Linked DNA regions of Drosophila melanogaster. The protein of the gene in region 4 binds, or shares a complex with, the protein of the main gene of each other region. Each region holds a gene or a part of one and is shown on either strand. Other genes may lie near its edges.

What was found.
Region 1: FAM21 (region 4) and Strump share a complex: the UniProt entries of both Drosophila melanogaster proteins name them as parts of the WASH complex.
Region 2: FAM21 (region 4) and SWIP share a complex: the UniProt entries of both Drosophila melanogaster proteins name them as parts of the WASH complex.
Region 3: FAM21 (region 4) and wash share a complex: the UniProt entries of both Drosophila melanogaster proteins name them as parts of the WASH complex.

The regions. Positions count from the first base shown.
Region 1 is NT_037436.4:16,120,169-16,126,556, forward strand, and holds Strump (strumpellin), read left to right. Parts: upstream 1-1,833; 5' UTR 1,834-1,925; exon of another isoform or gene 1,926-1,977; 5' UTR 1,978-2,018; coding exon 2,019-2,137; intron 2,138-2,193; coding exon 2,194-2,296; intron 2,297-2,355; coding exon 2,356-5,183; intron 5,184-5,243; coding exon 5,244-5,615; intron 5,616-5,677; coding exon 5,678-5,831; 3' UTR 5,832-5,884; downstream 5,885-6,388. Other genes in the region: Pgm1 (phosphoglucose mutase 1), read right to left, coding at 5,969-6,107, 6,174-6,388. UniProt on the Drosophila melanogaster protein: Acts at least in part as component of the WASH complex which may regulate wash nucleation-promoting factor (NPF) activity and is required for its membrane targeting during endosomal sorting.
Region 2 is NC_004354.4:16,312,087-16,318,282, reverse strand, and holds SWIP (strumpellin and WASH-interacting protein), read right to left. Parts: upstream 4,575-6,196; 5' UTR 4,465-4,574; intron 4,404-4,464; 5' UTR 4,402-4,403; coding exon 3,886-4,401; intron 3,825-3,885; coding exon 3,618-3,824; intron 3,562-3,617; coding exon 2,461-3,561; intron 2,399-2,460; coding exon 2,146-2,398; intron 2,092-2,145; coding exon 1,937-2,091; intron 1,871-1,936; coding exon 1,444-1,870; intron 1,380-1,443; coding exon 1,174-1,379; intron 1,114-1,173; coding exon 670-1,113; 3' UTR 533-669; downstream 1-532. Other genes in the region: Cyp1 (cyclophilin 1), read left to right, coding at 1-101; CG9915 (uncharacterized protein), read left to right, coding at 5,317-5,335, 5,401-6,196. UniProt on the Drosophila melanogaster protein: Acts at least in part as component of the WASH complex which may regulate wash nucleation-promoting factor (NPF) activity and is required for its membrane targeting during endosomal sorting.
Region 3 is NT_033778.4:12,178,624-12,182,897, forward strand, and holds wash (washout), read left to right. Parts: upstream 1-1,869; 5' UTR 1,870-1,917; intron 1,918-1,999; exon of another isoform or gene 2,000-2,002; 5' UTR 2,003-2,077; coding exon 2,078-3,577; 3' UTR 3,578-3,750; downstream 3,751-4,274. Other genes in the region: CG8860 (uncharacterized protein), read right to left, coding at 964-1,170; CG13175 (uncharacterized protein), read left to right, coding at 4,173-4,274. UniProt on the Drosophila melanogaster protein: Acts as a nucleation-promoting factor by activating the Arp2/3 complex to induce actin polymerization. Participates in both linear- and branched-actin networks.
Region 4 is NT_033778.4:20,621,533-20,628,822, reverse strand, and holds FAM21 (family with sequence similarity 21), read right to left. Parts: upstream 5,277-7,290; 5' UTR 5,208-5,276; coding exon 5,106-5,207; intron 5,049-5,105; coding exon 4,854-5,048; intron 4,794-4,853; coding exon 4,654-4,793; intron 4,604-4,653; coding exon 631-4,603; 3' UTR 508-630; downstream 1-507. Other genes in the region: Rcd6 (reduction in Cnn dots 6), read left to right, coding at 1-27; CG11180 (uncharacterized protein), read left to right, coding at 5,520-5,592, 5,649-7,290. UniProt on the Drosophila melanogaster protein: Acts at least in part as component of the WASH complex which may regulate wash nucleation-promoting factor (NPF) activity and is required for its membrane targeting during endosomal sorting.

The DNA.
Region 1 (6,388 bases), on a different chromosome or scaffold from region 4:
ATCCACTTGCAATATATTTTAGCCTCAACTTTAAATGCGTCGCGTGTCCCCTGTTGTTGTTTCTTTTTAGTTAGGCGGCTCTATTTAATTTCTATTTTTACATTTATTTACATAAATCCTAAATTCTAATCGTATTTGATTTTAAGCCTAATTTAAAGCTCGTTTATTTTTCCAATAAATTCTCTGTAAAACTTAAACCAAACCAATCCAAAAACAAAACAAAACCAGAGTAAACGAAGAGAATAAAATAATAGAGAGGAAAGTAAAAGAAGGTAAAAGAGAGCGCGCAGTCAGCGGGCGTTTGATTTGTAATTTGTAACATAATAATGTTTGCATCAACTGCATTGACGGCCTTATCTAAACGATATAAACATAATTATTAATATTTAATTATTTAGCTTAGTTTGTTAAACGAAAACGAACCATAATTCCTAGATTTTAAGTAAAAAGCAAGGGCGCGTGAAGAGAAATCGAAACCGAATTACAGATAAAGGTTTTTAAAACCAACTAGATCGAAACAAGTTCAGCAACAGCAAAACAAAAGAACACATCAAAAAAAGAACCGAAAAATATCCATTTAAACATCCATTGAATTAGGTTTAGTTGTTTAAAAAAGATGTAATTTTTAATTACCCATAATGTATAAACGGAAATCAATCGTTAGGCAAGACCACAACAAACCCAACAAATTGTAAATACATTCTAGGCTACGGTTTTTCTAATAGATAACTAGGTAAAAACGCAAACGTAATTAACAAATTATCGATGGCAAGGAGCGATGCGAGCGCAGACAACTTGGCACACCGAAAAAATATGTTTTTATTAGTGGCGCTCGTTCATCCATTAAGAATGGCGATTCATTAGGCTCCATAGATCCATAAATCCCCTAATCCAATCTGAACTACACACAAAATAGACAAATTTTATACAATTAGCTCGATAAATCTTGTAAAATAGAGTCCCGTAAAAAAATTATAACAAATAAATTGACAACAATTGATGTAATTCAGTAAACCTAAGCAAAAAGTGAAACCATTCTAAGCAAATTCTTTGTGTGTAAAAATTAATATGATAAACAAAATGCAGATGCAACCGTAAACAGCGCATAGTTTGGTAGGCATATAACTGAATATATATATATTATTATTATTATGTTTTAACATTAAGCAAAAAAATAAAAGAAAAAATTGAGAAAACTTCAACTGAGCACGGAGAATTATTAGCTGGGAATATGCAGAATTTATTTTAGTGCGCAGTGTTTGCTTATGCATATTATTATTTTATGTCGTATGGAATATGTAACGGTATCTCAGTTAATTAGCTAGTTAAATCATTACAATTTATGTAGTTGAATTAATTAATTTTATTAATATTTTTATATTCATTTATTATGTTAATTAATCCTACTGAAACTTTGTGTAGCTCCCATAGAATGAAAATCTAACACAAAATAAATAGAACCAAATTCACGTTTGGATTCAACCAGAAACACATAACGAATTGGCAATTTTCTTAATGTCGTATTACAACTTGCTTTCTTTTTTAAATTTTAAAATTGAAATCGTGAATCTAAAGTCGGAAACCATTAGATCTTCCATCATTATTGCACTTTAATGCATCGAATAGAGTTATTAAGCCAATATTATAATTTTATTATTCAATACAATAGTAGTTTCATATCTCATTTTAATAAATTTAATAATTGTTATTAAATTATGTACCTCATAGGTTGTTATCATCAGTTTCTCACTTCAAATTTATGCGCCAACATTTCGAAGTTCATGGTAACTCTATAACAACAAAATAGTGTGACCGGACTTATGTAAGATTACTGCAGATAATACACTAGTGCAAAAAAGAATTGATATGACTAAATGAATAGACAATATAAACAAACAATAACATAATTCGTGGACTGATAAAAAGTATGTACAGCTTTAATTAATAATGTGATTATACAAATTAAGCTTTCTCCAGAGAGGCATTTGTTAGAATCACAGAAATCAAGGAAATGCATAATGAGTTTTCTGGATGACAATAATGCCTGTGGGCAGAATCTGCTGAATATAGTGTCGGTGGGTAATTCTATAATAGCAGAGATCCTGCGCCTCAAGGACTACGTGCCCAGTATTTATAGGTAACATAGATTAAAAACCTGCAATTAATGAATAATTGGTGACCACTCCTCCCCAGATTGGACAACAAAGCTGATAAGGCGAAATATGGCGAGCTTATTCTGGATTTCAGCTACTTCAAGATAGCCGAAGATCACGAGAGGAGGATCGAACAAAGTCCGGTAATTTGATGTTAATATACCCGAGACCACACCGTATTAAACACCCTGATTTCCTTCAGGAACTGACCGAACTCGATGATGAGGCACGTGCCCAGCTTCCGCTAATCACACGATTTTACCTGGCCTTCCAGAGCATCCATCACTATGCCTCCGATCTCCAGCAATATATCGAGGAATTGAACACTGGCTACTATATCCAGCAGACGCTGGAGACGGTACTTCAGGAGGAGGAGGGCCGCCAACTGCTCTGCGAATCCCTGTATCTCTTTGGTGTGATTCTCCTCATGGTCGATTTTCACATTCCGGGGGATGTGAGAGAACGTCTGCTGATCGCCTACTATCGGTATAGTGGAGGAGATGCAACGCCTAGCGGAGACGAGAGTAATATCCATGATGTTTGTCTCCTGCTCCGATCTACGGGCTATGTTCATCCGTCGATTGCCGCTAAAGTGCTCGGTTTGGGTGGCAAACAGGCAGGCGCTAGAGCTGCTAGCCTTGTGGTTCCCCGATACCCGGAGGCCTACTTCTCTCGCTTCCGTTTCGATGAGAATTTCGTGGATCTAGTGGTGGCTCGTCTGCGGTGCGATGATATATACAACCAACTGAACCTGTATCCACATCCTGCCCATCGCTCCACGGCTCTGTCTACTCAGGCGGCCATGCTGTATGTGTGCTTGTATTTCTGCCCGCAAGTTCTTCATTCCCAAGGCTCACAGATGCGCGAAATTGTGGACAAGTTCTTTTGCGACAACTGGACCATATCCGTGTACATGGGCATGACAGTGAATCTGGTGGATGCCTGGTTGGATTTCAAAGCCGCTCGATCTGCTATTGAAAATGTGATAAGTCCACCGGCAATCAAAGCACTCTGTCAGCAGCAAAAGGAGCAATTGGGCAAGATCACTCAAAAAACCCAGGAGATTGTTCGTGAAGGAGTTCTAAATGACAACTTTGTTTTGGAGCACGCCAACAAAATCATACACCTGATGAGGCAATCCAATGTCCTGCTCCGCTGGTTTTGCCTGCACACCTCAAGGGAAGTTTTCATCTTTGCTCACACAGCTACTTTGACGGGTCAAGTGCAAAAATGTGTGCTCCACGAACTACAATTCAATCGGAATACGCTGTATAACTTACTGCTTAACTGCAGCCAAATGGAGCTGAGCGTGAGGGAGTTCCTGGCAGAGATTCAGCAGACTAAGGAGGAGCGCTGGACGAAAAGCAGAGAGGAGGCCATGCAAAGGCTCAATGAGTTGAGCGAAGCCTTTGCCGGCTCCAGGCCTTTGTCCAAGATTGAACAGAATCCTCAGTTGCAGCAATGGTTTGGCGAAGTTGCTGGACGTCTCCAGAAACTGGAATTGAGCAGGCCCCAAAAGTCCGGAAGGCTGATTATTCAGGTGATGCAAGCACTGGACGATGTGCAGGAGTATCACAACCTTCATTCCAACATGCTGGTGAAGCAGCAACTACAGGAGACGCGAGACATGCTCAATCAAATGGCACAGCTAATAAACCTGAAGGAAGACATTGAGATTCACATCCAGATGATCACTGACTTCAGCTATGCTTGGCATCTACTGCAGTTTGACTTCACTCCTCCCATGCAGGAACACATCAAAAGACAGCCACAGGCGGTAATAGGTATACGAGCGGTCTTTCTCAAGTTGGCCAGCACCCTGGAGGTGCCGCTGATGCGGATCAATCAGGCCAGAAGCGAGGATCTGGTCTCTGTGTCAAACTATTACAGCACCGAGCTAGCAAACTTCCTGCGCCGCGTTCTGCAAATTGTTCCAGAGACCATGTTCAGTATTCTGGCTAAGATCATCTATCTCCTTACGAATGTTATCAAGGAGTTTCCCACTAAAGTGGAGAAGGAGCGTCTAAAGGACTATGCCCAGTTTGAGGAGCGGGCCAAGGTGGCTCAGCTTACAAACTCCATTGCTGTTTTTACGAAGGGAATTCTTATGATGAAAACAACTCTAGTGGGAGTAATCGAGCTGGATCCTAAACAACTATTGGAGGATGGGATACGCAAGGAGCTTGTAAATCATCTGGCAAATGCCTACAATCTGGGCCTAATATTTACGCCCGAGAAAGGCAAGACTCCTGTGCAGCTTCTTCAACAAAAACTGCAAGCTCTGGCGAAAACAATAGAGGGATATCGAAGATCCTTCGAATATATAGAGGACTACTTAAGAGTTCAGGGACTTCGAATCCTGCTGGAGGAATCGCAACGCATTATTAACTACAATGTGGAGAAGGAATGCAATGCCTTCCTCCGCAACAAAGTGCAGGAATTTCAATCGGAGCACCAGAGCCAGATCATACCCATTCCCAACTTTCCACCGCTGTTGGGAGATCCGTCTAACAACTTCATTGGCCGTCTGGCCCACGAAATTCTGCGGTGCACAGATCCCAAGCAAACTATTTTTCTGGATCTAAAAAGCACTTGGTATGAGAAGAAGGCTCCTCACCAGGAAGTTCTTGCCGGCTCTGGATTCTTTGAGATACTTAGAGAAGCCTTGGCTCCGGCAGGAATGGTGGGATTGGAGCGCCTCTACGCTCACATGTTGGCTGATGAGTTAAAGCGCAACTTGGAACGGTTACAGCGTAACCTGACCTCGGATCGTATGTGGGTGGATACGTTAGCGGCACTGACTCGGGAATTGGAGGCCCGGGACTTCCCAACTCCGGAGGTGTCCAAGCAGCCTTTGAAGTATTATCAAGCTTACACCCAACGATGGCTGAAAGTGTGGCCCACGCTGTTGGATTGGGTTTTGTGCATTGGACAGAAGCAGCTGCTCCGCAGAGAAATTGCAGGAGAGCTAAGCTTTAGCAGTAAATGTGATGCCAAGTTGCTGGAGAACACGGCGGACACCCTGAACAAGTAAGTCAAACTATAACATCCTAAAAATATTTATATATTTGCAATCTCTTCCGCAAACAGAGCCCTTTTACTAGAACTGTCTCTCAGCAAGGATCTCTGTGATGAAAAGGGTGTGGTCATGTTGACAGAACTGCAGGAAACCCTGCTCTATACGGGAAACTTTGAGCCCCTAGAGCAAGTCTTCCTTATCACAAAGAACACCCATAACATGGCCCTCTTTATGTTTCTTTTCACCATTGCCCATTTGGGTCGTATGCAGCATTCCACGATTACCGATTGTCTGTTGCCAAAATCAGCCAAAGATAACATTGATAATGTGCCTTTTATTGTGGGTCTAGTAACGATCTTGCAGCAGTTCCACAAGAATGTCAAGATGCTGTATATATCCTACATGAGTCAGTACGTGGTGACTGTATCGGAGGCTCAGTTACTGTAAGTACTTTAGTTACAAGATAATCCACGAATATCAGATGACATACACTTTTCTTTATTAGGGATAAAGAAATCCTGGGTCCCGAGGTGGTCACCGCCCTGCACTTTCTTCTAGCCTTTATACGCATTGCTCGTTTGCCACTCGGAGTTCTGGAGCAGCGCATTCCCAACATAATACTTAGCGAGTACGAGTATTTATCCACACTGCTAAAATGAAAACTAACCAACAGGTTTGGGCTACACAAACTTTAATAAATCCGAAACATAACAAGGAAATGCCTCGCTGAGGTACAAGAGGAGATTGTAGTTGGATGGGTTGGTAATCTCAGTGTTCCTTCGCTGACAGGAACTCTTTACGTGATAACCGTTGGAGCGTTGCGTCCAGTGAACTTGGGCAGCTGAGAGATCTCCAGGGCGATGTCGATCAAGGGTTTCAGCATCACGCTGGCCTGGCCCAAAACATTCTCCTTCTCATAGGAATCAATGTACAAGCTGAAAAGGAACAATTCATCTATTATTGAAAAGAATTGTTTGATATTAAATCTCATCGTGACTCACCGAACGGTTGCTCCCGAGCTTCCAGTTCCACTGAGGCGCACCACAATGCGGCTGCCATCCTCGAACACAATGCGCAGACCCTGTTTCGTGGCCACCGACTTGTCGACAGGATCTGTGTAGCTGAAGTTGTCGGCCTCCTTGACCTTGTAGGTTTTTCCGCCGCTGGAATAGCTCTTGCCGACGAACTCCGGAGCAGTTATGGTCTTCTCCATGGT
Region 2 (6,196 bases), on a different chromosome or scaffold from region 4:
TCGTCGAGGGACTGGATGTGGTCAAGAAGATCGAATCTTATGGATCGCAGTCTGGCAAGACCTCCAAGAAGATCATTGTGGCTAACTCTGGTTCTCTTTAAGAAGGTGCGATGCAAAAGCAACAGCAACATTGCAAGAAGAAAAATCTGTTAAGACGAAAACCATTTGCATTTTCTCCAAAACATTTTTTTTTACCAATTACTGTACTGTAATATTACGAGAAAAATACATAACAAACCAACATATTTTCAATAGACATGTTGGGTTTCCTTTGGCCAATCAATTGTATGTGGGGGCCAAAAGTGAATAGAATTAGTGCCCACCAATGTCAGAAAGCGTTCAATTGGCTATATAATATGCATTAAATCTGTAACTTTAACATTTCCATTCACAAAAAAAAAAACAAAGAAGAAAAACAATGAGACGACAAGAGTCGAGAGGGGCTTAGAAAAATGTTTGATCTTTTGATGTTGGCTTACTTACTACTAATAATAGTATTAGTAATGCTGATTATCTAATTGCATATATATATATATATACCAACGTTCTACGCTATGTACCGGAATCGGAATTGTATTTTCGTCTTAATAAATCTGAATAAACGGCAACCAACTACTCAATTGTTTGTTGTCACTGCTGGGATCTTTGGTTTTGGTAAATGGACATATTTTATTGGAAGAATATTTCGGAGCTACTCAAGGTGGCGTACAATAGATTGTATTCATGCTCGTAGGCGTTCACATGTCGTTCGGTTATCGCCACTGTCTGGTGAAGCTTCTCGTCCAGCTGCTCCGGCGCCGTCCGCTGCTGGCCCGCCAAAATGTCGCGCACCTTGGAGCGCTCCGCGTTCAGGTGCTGCGTGATCGTCTGGCTCCAGCCCAGCTCATGGAACTCCGTCTGCTGGTTCAGCATGTTGAGGATGTAGACCAGGCCGATGGCGAAGCCATCCTCGAACAGCGAGATCTTGGTCTGGTCCTTTTTGTAGATCTTTAGCTTCTGCTTGACCCGGTAGTCAATGTAGTTCATGATGAGCGCCGGTGTGATGAGGTAGAAGGTTCGCAGGTGGTGGTTATGTGGATTGCACAAAAAGGGCTGAAAGCCTTGCAGAAGAAGCTGCAATATAAATCCATGGGTTAAGCTGGTTACCTAACTTGTTAAGATCGTAGACTGCACCTTGAAGTAATTTGTGCTATCGGAATAGCACTCCTTCATGTGACCCAGGCTCTTCTCGTACTCCCTGATGGAACCCTCCGTAGCCTCGTGCACTTTGGAGCCCCCGCAACTGAAGTTGCTGTCGAATCTGGTTTTATACGAGCGATTCCGGAAGTTGGCATTCTTGCTTCCAGCCTGCAGGAGGCGCACATAGCCAACAGCGTTGCCTAAAAGCAATATTTACGTTTATATTTTAAGCATTTTCTTGAATTATGGTCTTTAACCACCTACCGACTTGTGTGATAACCTTCCTGAAAAGATCCATATACGTCTCGCCATTGCTGGAGCAGCCTAGCCTTCTGATCTTCTTAAGAAAACTATCGGCGCGCTCATAGGGATACGACTGATAGGACTTGCTGTGCTTGTGCTCCGTGTGAAAACGCAGCTCCTTGAGCAGCCGCGACTTGATCTGCTCGTCGTGGAGGAAGGTGGAGAAGGTGTAAAACTTTTGGCGCAAAAACTGGTATATAAAGTTGACGGTGGTGTTGATGATACCGGTGCCGTGCGTCTGCACCGAGTTGGCCACGTGCCGGGTGCCAATGATGTCGAGGTGCTTGCTCCTGCTGTTCGTCTCCACGAACACCTGCAGGTTCATGTTGTAGGCATACGAGGAGGCGAAAGTGTGTATATTCCGCATGATCTGCAGCACGTCTATGCCCTTGAAAGTGGGAAAGAATTGTTTGGTTAATAGAAGAGATTGCTTATTGATGATTCAATTGGTTACCTGGTCAATTATCTGATTGGGCAGGTGGTCATCGATGGGTTGCAGCTGCAGCACCTTGTTGGCCAAATGACGCATCTTTTCATACGATTTCCAGTCGTGCGGAGCGATTGTCGTTAAGTTGTAGAACGTGGCAGTGAAATAGTTCTCAAGATGATCTAAAATATGTTAATGAATGGCATGATCTCTCAGTTTTGTAACCGATATCTTACCTTTTATAATATTGTAATCACCATCGTTTTCAACTGCAACTGCATTGATGCAGAGACGATAGTCTAAGGCACTTTGCTGGAATGGTTGATCCTGGCTCTGGAAGAGATGCGAAAGGGCCTCCACGCGCAGAAAGAACTCCAGGTGGTTGCTCAAAAACTCAATGATCAAGTCATTCGCTGATTGCTTGGGACACCTTGAACCCCTGAACATGGCCATGATCTTGTCCAGATGATGGCTCACCGACACGAGGTTCTGCCGATGATAAATGGCATAAACATGAAGTTGCTTTGCCAGAAACTGAGTAAGAAACCAACCTGCAAGGAGTAGGGATTGCGTTGGAGTTCGGTGTACTCCTTAAGCACCGAAGTGTCCAGAAACCAGTGATTATATACCAGACTCGAGGACTCCGACGTGTTAAGTTGTCCACCAATATTCCGCATAATGTCGCTGATACTATTAACACGATGTAGGATCGATTTGATCAACTTTTGATTGTCGGCGGGCAGGAGGCGATTATCTAGAAACTCCCCGAGGGCTAGATTTACGAAAGTCAAACGTTGCTTGCTCGGAAATCCCATAATGGACTTCTCGGCCAGCTTTATTGTGGCCAAAAAGTTGATCTTGCGCTGCAGCAACTTGAGGACAACTATCTTCTTTTTCGTTGTGTGCAGCAGGTGTATGACCTTTTGCTTCTGCCATTGTATCAGTGAGCTGATAAAGCGCACGAAATTGATTTGGTTTGACTCAAAGGTCTTCTGAATGACCTTCAGGTACTGCAGCAACCGAGAGACGACGATCCAATCGTTTCTGGTCATGGGCGTCATCAGAGCCACGTGCCGATTGATCAGCGCGACTGCCAGCAGGTTAACTTGATCGGCATAGGAGTGTCCATTGAGAATCAACTGCAGAAAAGTCTTGAGGTGTCCAAAGACTCCCACATCGAATACCCTTTGCATTTGGATGGACCACAGCGATAGTTGGACGCCCAATTGGCGACAGGTCCTCTGATCGCTAAGCCTAAACTTCTCCAATACTGTGCTATGAACTTTTGGGCCTTGTCCATCTTGCGATCGGGCTGAAGACTTCATCAGGGTTTTGGCATGTAGAGAGAGGAATCCGGAAGGCGACCAGAAAACGCTTCGGTTGAGAGGCACCTGCTTATGCCTGGCCACCAAATCGATCACATTCTTGACCAGTTTTCCCTCCATCTGGATGCCTAGCTCATGGACGACGACCACGAAGGTGGTAAGTCGAATAATGTGCTTGGGATCCTCATAGTTTTTAAGTTCGTTACTCGGATTCGCGTCGACGTCGAGAAGCTGCCTACGAATATAGGCATTGGAATGCTGGGTGATGGGGCTAACACTATTCAGGCCAAATTGCTTCTTCAATTCCATCAAATTGTCCAGTAGAATCTGTTTGGAAATATCCATGAAAGGGCGGTTACCATTCACGTTTTTCTTTGACTTACCCGAAAGAAATCCTTGGTGATCAGATTCTCTATATCCATTAGCGATGTACTAAGGCCATTGAGCTCCAAGTTCGCTGATTGGCTATTGGATAGGTTCATCAGCCACTTCTTGTACAGCGCCCACATGGTGGATATCTTCGATTGGTTCGCCAGTTCATTGAATACCACTATGTGTTCCAGTAACTCACTCATTGCATCAAAGACAGCCTGCAAGTTTCGACTTCAATTGGTTACTACACTTGAGATGTGAGTTCGATCGTTGACTTACGAATATGTGGACTTCATTGATGTCCATTGGGACGCTAACAGATGCGGCTATTTGTCTCCAAAGGTTTTGGAGTATCACAATCATGCGATTGAGCAAGAAGTAAACCTGGCAGAAGAAGTCCATGGAGCTGCTCATGCGGACCAAGGATCCCTCCAAGCCGGCGGAACCCTCGGATGTGTGGGTATGTGGCGGGAGCGTATCATCTAATCGAAAGTCGCTGAAAAGGAATGCCAGCTGGAACCGTTTTGCCTTCCTGGACAGATTTCTGCACTGATTGCACAGATTCGCCAGAGTTGTCAGCGGTTTATTGGCCACCAGCTCCGATTCCTCAAAGCTTCTGTCCGGAGCCATGGAATCGTTGCCCATAAAGTTTACCTCGACCACGGGCGACATATATACACACTGTGCAGACTCGGAAACATCCCGATTAGGCACTTTATCTCGCAATAATTTCAATTTCCCATCGTGCTCCGATATGAAGGAGCCGTAATCCCGTAGGATATCCTCGGCAAACATAGCTGAAATAGAAAATATATAGATAAGAATAGTATTCCATAGCTGATATCGGCGTTTTCATACACATAGAGCTTTGCTCTTCCTTCATGTCTACCAATTTTAAAAATATTATTGTTTTGGTTTTCTCATGGCAAATTTAGGGATGGGGCATTTCAAGTGGGTGGATTCCGATTCGATAACGCTAAATTCTCGATATCTTTTGTTTAAACAAGCGTAGTTAAAACCCAAAAACTGTGTAAAATCGAAAATCGCGATTAATTGAATGGAAAAGTTGGTAGCATGTCTATTCCGATAAATGATTTATTTATACAATTTATAAGCAAAAATAATCCTCAGATAATAAATTCATTTTATTTATATAAGAAGCAATATAAATTTTTGATTCAAGAAACAGCGGTAAAAATACATAATCGTAATGACTATGAATATATGCAATACCTAGTTTTCATTCTGACTTAACAAATTAAATCAATTTCTATAAGTTTGGTTATCGATTTCCAAGGATTAAAATCGTACTCCTTGACACGAATACCTGTACGTCGCAGTCTATTTTTAAAACAAGACTTTTGTCCATAAACAAATTTAATTTTGATATTTAAGTTTTGGACTTAAATGTTTTGTAGAATAAGTTATTTCGGATGTCTTATCATAGAAGTTTTGTTATCGATAACAAAAGGCTTGTCGTGTATAAGGGCCCTAAACAGCGTGTATGCATTAGTGTATGTGTACACACAAGCGTTGATGTTCCGTTTCCATTCGTTCCACTGGCCTTACAAATGCCGAGCAATAAAATCGCGTCGTATTTTATAAGTCATTGCAGGAATTATTTAATTTGAGCCTGAAAGCAGTTTGACCAACTGACTAGGCAAATTTGGTTGTGTACTACTAAAAATTTATAGGAATAATTAGTACGGCATGGAAACGTCTGAAATAGGTTGATTACCAAATTGATTCTTAATGGAAATTCTTGTTTAACCATTTTATACACTTAATTTTCAGAAAAGGCCGGCGGCGACGAAGCCGAGACCTTATCCGAGCCACTCGAGAAGACCACAACAGACACGGCCGCAAAAGCGGAGCTAAAGGAAATTCAAGATACCAATCCCGACGCAACCAATTTCGAGCCAGTATTGCCAGAGAAGAGCAAGAGCAAGTCTCCTTCGCCGGCACCCAAGAATGGTGATGATAATGCCGAGGCCATCGCCGATCGCTCGCGTAGTCGCAGTCGCAGTGCTACCAGGAAGAGCGCATCCCGCTCCAGAAGCGGATCCCATAAGTCCCGCAGCGGATCGGTGCACTCGGCAGCCAGTGGCCGGCGTTCGCGCAGTGGCTCCAAGCAGTCGCTAAACGGTTCCCGGCGGTCGCGGAGCGGCTCCGCTCCGTCCCGCAGTGGCTCCCGTCATTCTGGCGCAGCACCGGGATCGCCTGCTGGATCCAGACGTTCGCGCAGCGGCTCTAGACGATCCCGCAGCGGTTCTAGACAATCCCGCAGCGGCTCTAGGCGTTCCCGCAGTGGATCTAAGCAATCGCACCGCTCACGCAGTGGGTCTAAGCGATCCCGCAGTGGATCACGTCGCTCCCGCAGTGGCTCTAGGCGATCCCGCAGTGGGTCTAAGCAATCCCGTGGTGGATCGCGCCGCTCCCGCAGTGGGTCTAAGCAATCGCGCAGTGGATCACGTCGCTCTCGCAGTGGATCTAAGCGATCTCGCAGTAGGTCCGGTTCTAGACGCTCAAATGCATCGCGGAGCGGTTCTCGACGTTCGCGAAGCGGCTCTGTATCTAGACGATCTCGCAG
Region 3 (4,274 bases), 8.4 Mb from region 4:
GGGAAAATAAGTAAGTATACTATGTATATTTCATTAATGTATTAATAACTTAAAAAGGCGACGTGTGAGCTTTAACCGTAGCCCAAGTCGCAAATGGTGGTACTTACCAATTCCATATAGATAGATGGGCTTCGTGAACAGCAAGATATCCGAGCTCGAATAACTCGTCGTGGCAGTTCAAAATTCCAGGGCTGGATATCCCCTCGTCTTATGTGCTCTAATACACACTCGGCGTGTAGCAGGTTGTAAGAAATTCGCGTTTAAAATCAAATAACTTAGTGGGCGCTGCCATGTTTTAAAATTTATTCGATAACCGATCCCCGACTTAAAAGGAAAAGTGTGACCATCAATTTATAAAATTTAGCTTATATTTTGTAAAAAAATTGTTGCTTCTTTGTTTAGGAATTTTTAAGAAAAAGCAATTGTGTCGCAGAACAAAACGATGGCTAAAACAGTAATTTTAAAAAGGCATACAACACATATAAAATTATTTTTAAGGTTAAAGAAAGATTTTTATAACAGAATTAAAATCTTCTAATTTTAAAGCAATATTAGGCGAACCCAAATACATGCCATTGTACAATGTAGAATTTAATGTTAAATCATCTCTATGTTAAAATAACAAAATATAAACATTGTCAATTGGAAGAACGATTCAAAATAAGCAACTCGACCTAGATGAATGAAATAGTACAATACATGCCATTTTGTTGCTGAATGATAAGCTAAGATTTTGTTGAATTTTGGCTTAGTTGCATTCGGAAATATATTTACAACATTTTGAGCACACCCTCCAAGCACCCAATTTATAACCAGACTTTCTTATCTCAAACCCAAGCCAAAGATATTACATTGTATTGTGTGTATAAAATCCGAAGAAGGGGCATTTATTTCGCTAAAGATGCGCGTGGAATCGTGAACTACATGTAATCTCTTTCCGGTCCGGGGGCCACCTGCCGCTTTCTAGGATCCCACGATGATGTTGTTAATGGGAATGTGAATCAGCTTGACGAAGAAGCCGATGAAGCCCATGATGGCGAAGCCCACGGCGGTGGCGATGGCGATTTTCTGGAACTCCTTGCGGTCGGGTTTTGTGCAGCGCTTCACCAGGCGGATTGAGTCCTTGGCGAAGGCGCGTCCGGGTTCGGCGAATTTGACAACCTTGTCCATTTTTGATTTGTGAGTATTTAACTAAGAATTACCAATGAACTGAATTGATATTTATTTTGCTGCCGTGTCGCTTCTTGCAGTGTTACCAAGTTCCTCAGCTCAAAACATACTAAAAATTAACGCCTTTCCTTTAGTTGTTAATAAATTTTTTTTTTGGTTGAAATATAAGTGTATTTGAATTATTTTAATTTATTTTGAGTTTTTCTTTAAATTGAACCCATTCAATTATTACTTTGAAGCAAATCATTTAATGAACAGTTTTTAACAATTGATTTGGGCACACTACCCTACCCTAGCGTCGATGGAGGAACGGTGGATTTTTGAACATATGGACGTTTTCTATTTATTTATTTTTTCGTCATTTGGAAGTGAATTCCAAATTCCGTGCTCCGGAATGGCGTGCTTATAGGCTTACATTTGCCTAATTTAGTAATGATCCTGAATAAATGATCCCCTGATTAAAAAAGTTCTCCTAACAGTGGGATGAGTTTGAAAGGTATTTAAAAATGCCGCCTTCTCTAGTAGAAGTACTACAGCCGATCCGTGTCCTTAACTGCTTTATTAACAGTAATAGTTTTGGGAGACACCGCAGTTTATCTGAGGGTTAGTTTATCTGAAGGTTAGTTTGTTTCCTGGTGGTTTGTTTATCTGGTTAGCTTATCTGGGGTCTAGTTTACCTGAATGATAATTTACGTGGGAGTTAGTGTAACTGAGGGTTCAGTTGACTGGTGTTTCGTTTAGCTAGGGGTTAGTTAATCTGAGGTTTCGTAATTTTAAAAGAAATCCATTTAATTATTACTTTGAACCAAATCATTTTTAACATCTTGTAAAGCTTTTAGAGTTGGTCACACTACCATGAACAGCAGTAAAATTGCAAATAAATATGTAATTATTTGGCGATAGAAAAATGGAGGAGTCACCTTACCTGCACAGCCCCTACCAGGTGGCCATTATAGCCACCGACCTGCACCACGAGGATACCATAATCCAAGCAGCCCAGTCCCTGGACTGTCTACACAAAACCATAAACTCGATTTTCGAGCGAATCGATGCCCGCTTGGCGAGAAATGGTTCAAAGGTTGAGGACATAAACAATCGTGTGAAGCGCGCTCAGGCAAAAATCGATGCGCTCGTTGGCTCCAAGCGGGCCATCCAGATCTTTGCACCCGCCCGCTTTCCGGCCAGCGACGTCCTGGCACCGCTGCCAGCCACCTTTCCACAGGTGGCAGCCAATCCCCTAATGGAGCAGCAAGTGGACCAGCTCCCGCAAGGGACGTACAGCAGTCACAGTGCCGCGGACCAGAAGCCGGATGATGCGGACATCTTTTTCCATGTACGTGGCGATCGGGAGCAGGAATCGCCACTGGTCGCCGAACGGAAGATAACCAATCGGACCGCTGGCCTGGGCATCCTGCCTGCGGGTGGAGTGCGCTCCGTACCCTCGCTCATGCGATTCAATACCAATGAGTTCGCCTACGGCGAGGATCTGAATGCCTGGAAGCGATCCCTACCGCCGCAAAATGCTCGACGCGTTGCCAGTCAGTCCACTCAACTCACGGGAGAAAAGCAGCTCGCTCCGGCACCTCATTCGCTGGCCCACGGCACCACCAAACTGGCCACTCCAGCTGGGGACCTGCGCTACAATCCTGCTGCTTTGGCTGCACCCGCCATTGATGTTCCGCTGGACCTGCCCGACCTACCGGGCATAGCGAATGATCTGCAATATGAGCCAGTGGAGGAGCAAACACCAATAGCGCCTTCCCAGCAGTTCGGTGATTTACCAGAGCTGCCGGATTTGGGCCTCGAGGAGCAGGATATAATAGTGCAAGCCATCGCGGCACAGACGCACATTCCGGGACCGGTGCGTAGGAAGAGTGTGGGACAATGTCCTTCGCCAGTTACGGCGGCACCACCGCCTCCTCCTCCGCCACCACCGCCGCCTCCACCTCCTCCACCAGCGCAGACGAGCGCAATTCCATCACCGCCACCCTTTCCCACCAAAGGAGCTGTGAAACCGCTCTCCCCGTCGTTAGCAACACCTCTTAACATGCCGCAGCCGCCTCCAGCTACTGAAGATCCGCGATCTGAGCTTATGGCCGCCATAAGAAACGCCGGTGGAGTGCATGGCGGTCGTCTGCGGTCGCCTGCGGCTGCGCCGCTCGACGTGGTGGACAACAGTCGCTCCAAGGCGGGAGGCGCTGTCACGGGGGATTTGATGGCAGACCTGCATAACAAGCTAATGCTGCGACGCAAGGGAATTTCTGGGAGCCAGAATCCCGTGGAGGCCACTGCTGGCAATCCCCTGATGCAGCAGCTCTCCCGCGTCATACCGCCGCCGGTGCAGCCCCGCAAGGGATCTAAGTCGAGTGACGAACACTCCGAGGACGACGAGGATGGGTGGAACTAGTGAATATTTAGCTTTAGTACCGGTTTAAGTGCCTTGGCTGGCTTAAAGCACTAGCAACCTAGGTTCTCTAGCTTAAAGCATACAAATTTCTAAAACGAATTCCAAATTCTGTGCCCAAGCGAGCATGCCAAATTAGGTCAAAGTCAACCAGTTGAATAAAACTACATATTAGCAGAAATGTGTGTAATTTCTTATTGAGAACATTGGCTAACTTTAATTGATAAAATTACAGGACAATGAAACATTTTGTGATGCTAAATGAAATAAAACAATTCTTTATACTGACTAAAATAAACTCGATATTAAATTATAATAAAACACTAAATTCTAGTTTTAGATAACAGCTATTTTCCTATTTGAAATAAACGAATTTCCCTGTTAAATCCTTAACAGCGCTGTTGTGTTGCTCTCTGCCAGTGCTGTAAAATGCCGCAGTGGAATCACATTTCGGGTAAAAACAAATTGAAATATCCACCGAATTTAAATATTAAAGTTAGAGAAGCTGCCAAATATCTGGAGTTACAATCAGGGACAAGGACAAGGACTACTACACTAGAGGAGAGCTTTTACAAGCAATCCGGTGAAACCACATATAATGACAAGTCCGTCGCGGGATATAAACGATCTTTTTGACGATATTGTCCTGACCGAGGAGAAGGAGGCACGTTTGGGCTACGAGGAGGGACTGAAGGACGGC
Region 4 (7,290 bases):
CGGAAGTACCGCGATGTGGCTCTTTGAGTCCGTTTTTTTGGTTCTGGAAACCGGATCCCAATCGATCATCAGTCAGCGTTTAGGTTAAGCTCACTAGTTGTAGGATATGCTCGATCTAGAATGAGATTCCTCGGAATAACGACCAAAGAGCCACAAACTAACTCAGTTTCAGTTCGTAGACTAACGTTACACTGCGAGAATCGTATAGCGCGTTTATGCGCCAGTCAATTTGTAGCTTAAATGGGTCTGCATTCAGTTTTATTTGCTTTACTGAATAACACGACCTATTTGCAAATAAAAGTGTACTAAATATGAGACTCCATGGGGATATAATTTTATATGCAAATAAAAGTAATCGTAATAGTAAATATCACGAAATATCAGACGTACTCAAAAATATAAATAGATATTTCTAAAACAAACAAATATCAAAAAGCATACCCCCCCAATAAGAGAGGCACTGTATGAAAATTGCCCAAGTCTAGTTCTAAGAATCGAACACAAATGAACATTGACATTCATTGTTTATTATAGTTAATAGGAATACGAATAACAATACTCTGATCGACAGTCTAACCATCCACAGATCAAAAAGTGTACATACTTGTAATAAAAGGCGTAACTGTTTTCTCACTTGAAATCAAGAAGATCGGCCAATGGATTATCACCGGAGTTTGATGGAATGGTAGCAGTGGGCGTGGTGGTTTTACTGGCAGGTGGTTTACTTGCTGTCCTGGCCGCGGGTTTGGTCTTTTTGGCAGCAGCTGCTTTGGACGTGGAGCTTCCTCCGAACAGGTCATCATCGTCGTCGTCGTCGCTAAAGAGACTTTTGCTTGGTTTCACTGGCAACTTCTTAGCAGGAGCACTCTTTACAGGCACTTCGGCTTCCTCATCATCGCTGCTGAAAAGAGAAGTCGCCGCTGGTTTGGGGGGCTGTTTAGCTTGGACGGGCTTGCTGGCGGTTTGGATACTAGGAGCTCTGGCAAACAGATCATCATCATCGTCGTCGCTATCATCAAACAGTTTCGGCGCAGCCTGTGACTTGGGTTTAGCAGCCTCCTTGGCATTCGATGGTTTCGGAGGAGCAGTTGTGACTTTTTGAAAAGCATTCATGATTTCTGCTGCAAATGCTTTTTGCGCGGTAGTAGTTGCATTTGTTTTTACAGAATCAAATAGGAAATCATCTTCATCTGGGCTGGCCAAAAATGAGTTTGCCATCTTTGGCGGCTTCTTTTCTACTGGAACTACATTGATACCCGCCTTGTTATTTTCAAGATCACTGAAAAGCTTATCATCTGCATCAGGGCTGTCCAAAAACGAGCGATATGACTTCGGCGGATCAGTACCCTGCTTTCCCTCAACTGTTTTTGTCGGGACGGAATTAAAAAAGGAATCATCCTCATCGGGGCTGTCCAGAAATGAGCCACCAGTGTTAGATGGCGGCGGTCTTTGGAGCTGCGGCTGAATTTGCTGGGCTGGGGTTGAAAACAGCTTTTCAGGTTTAACATACTGAGGAGAGGGTGCCTTAATGGAACTTCGCTCAGAGTGTTCAACTTCTGGGCTATCTCTAGTCGAAGCTGTTGGGCCTTCATTTTGCCCAGCATCCAATAAGCTTTTGGCATAGTTTTCCTTTCTTCCTCTTCTGGTAGATGGTCGCCTTTTGGCAGGTCCACGAGCGCGAGATTTGTTCACATGCTGCAGGACACCGTCTGCAGAAGAAACAGTGTTTTGTCCAGAACTTGGTGCCTCAGCCTCAGTCTGAACTGTCGCTTGAGGTTCATCTCTCTCGGAACTCGATGATTCTTGTTTCCTGATCAGCTTTGGCACGCTACCAGAACCCGGAAGAAGGGCATGTACATTGATGTTAATATTAGGCATTTTCAGCTTCTTAACGGGCGAAGTGGGTTTCTGCAATTCAGGCGTCTCCTTAACTTCACTACGATCAGTTTCATCAGCTGGCGGTGGCTCGTCATCGAAAGGGAAGCGTTTGGGCGCTGGCTGCACTGCTCCTGCCCTTGCAGTCTCACTGAAATCATCGTAGAAGATTGTGTGTATTCGGGTGGTTGACGCTAGTTCGTCCTTCTGAGGTTCAGCTTCCTTCTGCACTTCTTCGCCTGCATGATCGTTATCTTCGGGTGGCACATCACTAAACAAGCACATGGCACCGTAGTCAGACGACACAGAAGGTTGATCCCCCGGCGTCACTGGAGATGGCTTTGTCGCACTGGGAATGTTTGGCAGAGCGGGTTCGAAGAAGTCGTGCTCGTTGTCAAAGATTTTGGAGGCACTTAGGCTGCTGAGACCGCTGCTGCCAAGCGTTTGAAAGAATTCACTGTCATCCGGCGGTTCGTCGGAAAAGAGATTCGAGTAATTTTGCATGATTTGCTGCGCAGCAGCCAAATCCGCCGGCTTTCGCGGGGTAAGTGTATCCACTGATGTTTTATTGGTGACATCAGCCACCATTGATATAATGGGATCTACGTTGCTTTGATAATCGTCTGGTGGTGGAGTTTCCGAAACGGGTTCATCTATTTGAGGCTTACTTAACATTTCGGGCACCAGTTCATCCTTTTCAACGACAGCTGTTATTTCATATATTTTGTTCTCTGGCAGTTGCTGTGGCAATTCTTCTGCTTTAATCTCTTTCACCAGCTGCACCTCAGATGGTTTTTTAATATCTTCGTTTTCTGTACCAACTAATGGCTCATTCTTGGACATAGATGCACTCAAAAATGTATCATCATCGCTAAAATCTTCGTTAAACAAATCAGTTGGTTTGATAGATAGTTTTGTAGGAGGATTCACTGGGGATACATTTTCCTCAGTTTGCGAAGTATATTTTTCAATTGGTTTGTTAAATTCATTAGTTTCATTAGCACTTTTTGGCTCAGCCATATTATTTGAAGTACTAGAGAATAGCTCATCGTCGGTTAAGTCTTCACTGAACAAATCTTTAGATTTGGTAATATTTGCTGCTGATGTATCATCCTTAACCGCCTCCCATTCTTTATCATCAGACTTTTGTTCCGTAACTTCCATGGGAGGAGGTGAATCTCTGAGAATAGGCACAGATGCATTTTCTGCTATTACTTGATGCTGCTTTTCTCCAGTTTCTATATTCTTGGATTTCTGTTCTGCAATCTCACTTTGTTTCTTATCTTCTCCAACTGCTTCAGGATCATTATCTGGTTCACTTCTAATTAAGTTCTTAGCCTTTGGGGTTCCAAACAAATCCTCATCTTCAATATCATCAAAGAGACTTTTCTTTGAAGCTACAGGTGTTTCAACATTTTTGTTGGGCGAAACTCCCGAAGACGTCTCCTTTGGAATTACCTTTGCCTTTTTCGAACCAAACAAATCAGTGACATCATCTTGATCATCGTCTTCAAACAAACTTGTCTTTCCAGCTACTCTTTCAGATAGCTTTTTCGGTTGAGCAGATGGTTTCGTAAATATATCATCGATATCCAAATCATCATCATCAAATAAGGAGGGCTTTGGTTTTGAGAGCAGTTTTTGTTCTGGTGGCTTTGCTTTGGGCGTAAAGGAGCTCAAGAAGTCGTCGTCCTCCAAGTCATCATCGAATAGAGATTTGGTTACCGGTTTAGGTGGCTTTTTGGAAGGATTTTCCTTTGGCATGGCAGGAGAACTACCAAAAAGCGAGTTATCTTCATCATTATTGGCCACTACAACTGGACTCCGTTTTGGTATTGCACCCGTTGCTTTAGTATTATTAAAAACAGGCTCTGACCTCGGAGTTGGACTCAATGGAGGACTGTCGTCGAAGAGGTTTACACGTTTTGGAACTGTCTGCTCAACAATCTGCTTTGGCGGCCCTGGCTTTGGATATTCTTCCACGGGTTTTTTAGTTTTGGGTGGTTCTTTTGTTGAAATTGTCGTTGCTGGGGAGACGGAGCTGCTGGGTGTTTTTGACTGGACTTTGTCCACGATTTCGGACATGAAGGATTTAAACTCATCTTCGTTAAAAAGATTAACTGGCATGCGCTTTGTTTGGCTTGGCTTGATCTCAGCCTCCTTCGGAGTTTGGGTTGAAACAGCTTCGTCGAAGAGTCGAGGAGGTTGTTGGGCAGGACTACTGCTACTGGAACTAAGCGATGCAGTAGATACGATTGGAAGGCGACTTGATGGATTCCTAAAGGCTGGTGAAGATGTAGGCGATGACGATGTGGATGGCGGGTCGTCGCTAGGCGGCGATTGCCGGAGGGCAGCAAACATGTCCCTCTCATGTGGATTCCTTTGACTGTTTATAATTGGACGCGGTTGTGTTCTGATGACAGGCTCTGCTACCTGAACAGCAGGGTTAATGACTGGCGACACGATTGCCGGTTCCCTGGCAAACGAGGCTAGGGAAGAGGAGTCAGACAGATGCTGTTCTTCTAATTTGTTCGCTGGCGTTGCTATTTTTTTGGTCTCGGGTTCCTTTTCGTCCGATGAGCTTGAGGAGAATTCCTCGGATCTGTCATCTTCACTATTCTCCTTACTGTCATACAACCCGGCATACTTGTGTTCCTGCCACTCTTTGGTACCAATAATATAGGGCAAAGGTATCGCATCATAGGGATTCTTAGCACGGAATACGGTTCTGTGGAAAGTGGAGTTAGTATGGATCGGAATCGTAGTGTAGTCACTTACGTTGAGTGGACGGGGCCATCCTCATCATCCGAATCGGGCACTTCTATGGTCACCGGCTCGTAGTTTTTGCGGAACATACGAAGGTTGTTTTCCAGAAACTCCTTTGCCAATTCCTCGGAACTCTTGAGCGGCAGCTCTGGCTGCAAGCATATTAAGATCTGTAAACACAGCAGCCTGCAAAATTCCATCGCTTATTGCACCTTCTTTTTCTTCTCTTCGGGCATGGCCAAATCTGCGTCATCCACTTCCTCCACCCGATACTCCACGAACTGATTTCCAAACTGCAGGGATCGCAGGCTGGTAGTGGCATTGTTCAGCGCTATATCCACTTGCTTCACGCTCGTCTCAAAGTCTCGCAGATTGCGGCTGGTCCTTTCGCCCCTTTCTTCCAGATTCTGTTGCAAAAATTTTATCAAATTGGCTTGTTATCTATGCACGTATGTGAATTTAACCTGGGAAATGCGCTTCATCAGCGCCAGCAGAGCACAGTCGCCCGCGAAGGTCCAGTCCGGAGCCTGGGCTATTATCTGATCCACATCCGCGCTTATATCCATTATCAGTCGACTGCAAGCTCGCAAGTCAGAAAATAATAACAACTAATTAAGAGCAACAACAACAAACTTAGTAATGACACCCAAATAGAGATGAGCGATAGTTAATCACCTGTTATCAGCGCACAGCCAACGCTCATCCCTAAGCCTGCTGAGCAGCTGTTTCGACAATCGCTATCGATATATCTTGTTTAAACTTGCTATCGATATTTGATAGCACGTGTTGGGTTGTTCGCAATTTACGAATTGTATCTTTGTTAGTTATCCGCAATTTACATTTAAAACGAAGTAGATTATAAATAATTATAGACTAAAATGGCTATGCTGGCTGAACCACGTCGGCGCAAAAAGTACAACTTGTGTCCGCGCGGCAAGGCTCTCTATGAAGGTGAGCATTAAACTCCAAATGTGACTGGTAAATCGTAAATTCTTAAACTTTAACAGATGAAAATCGCTTCGGTACCAAAATGCTGGAGAAAATGGGCTGGACGAAAGGCAGTGGCCTGGGCGCCAATCTGAATGGCGAAAAGGATTTTGTGCGCATTCGCTTTAAAAATGACGCAGAAGGATTGGGTTTCGAGCAGCGCGATGATCAGTGGACTGTACACGAGGATGGCTTCAATGGGCTGCTTAAGTCGCTAAATGGGGAAGATAGCGGCGGCATAGACAAAGAGCCGGAGTCCGAAGAGGAGGCCAGACCTATGGGCTTTGGCTTCAAAGCCATTGAACCGGAGGAGCCGTCTAAGAAGAAACTCAAGGAGAACACCAGTGGAATGTCGCTGGAGGAGCGGTCGAAGCAGAGCAGGGCACGCGTCCACTATAAGAAGTTCACACGCGGCAAGGACTTGGCTCTGTACAGCGAAAAGGATCTAGCCAATATATTCGGCAAGAAGGCAACTGAGGACGTCGAGAGATATCCAGAACCCGTGCTGGCTGTCCAACCCGAGGAGCCAAACCCCAACTTCGCTGGCGTGCAGACAATTGTCACGGGCCTGTCGACCACTGATTATTTCAAGCAGAAAATGGAAGCCATGAAAAACAGACTAAAGAAAGGCTCCCAAGTTGAAGACAACAACGAGGCACAGACCAATGGTCATGCTGAAAAGTTTGAACAGATTTCAGCAGATAATGATGAAGTGACTTCCAAGAAAAAGAAAAAAAAGAAAGACAAGGAGAGGGCAGACGAGCCACCAACTAAAGAGGAAGAACCAGAGCAGGTTGCTTCCATGCCTAAGAAAAAGAAGAAATCAAAGCGATCATCCCTTGATGAAGAAAAATTAGTTGAAAGCGAAGAAAGGACTGACGAGCAACCCACTGCTGTGGAAGAAATCGAGCAGGACGCTCCCAAGCTTAAGAAAAAGAAGAAATCGAAGGGATCGTCTCTCGATGAAATTGAGCAGTCGGAGAACAACTTTGTTGAGGAAAAATTAGTTAAAAGCAAAGAAAGGACTAGCGAGCAACCAACTGCTGTGGAAGAAATCGAGCAGGACGTTCCCAAACTTAAGAAAAAGAAGAAATCTAAGCGATCGTCTGTCGATGAAACCGAGAAGACGGACAACAACTGCGTAGAGATGGCGGAAATCACTGAGGAAAGTGAAAGGACTTCCTCCAAAAAGAAAAAGTCCAAAAAAGAGGAGGAATCAGCAGAAGTGTCGATACAAACAGAAGAGAGTGACCAAAAAAAGAAAAGAAAGTCAGATAAAAATAAGGAGATTGCAGAAGATTCGATAGAAGAACCAGCTGCGAAAAAAAAGAAAAAGTCTAAGAAATCCGACGAAGTAATTGTAATCGATGATGACGACTTACACAGAAATAATGAATCGCATACTTCGAATGAAAATAGAACTAAAAATAAAAGTAAATCTAAGGACAGTCAAGAAACCACTCAAATTCAGGAAGAAATTACCATAGATTTAACAGCCGAAGCTCCGTCTAAGAAGAAAAAGAAATCCAAGGAAGAGAAGCGTAAGGACAATGATGAAAAAGATTTAGAAGAAACACCTCCCGCCTCGGAAGCTACTGAAAAGAAATCGAAGAAGAAATCCAAATTAAAATCGTCTGCGGAGCCCTCGACTAAACTGGAGAT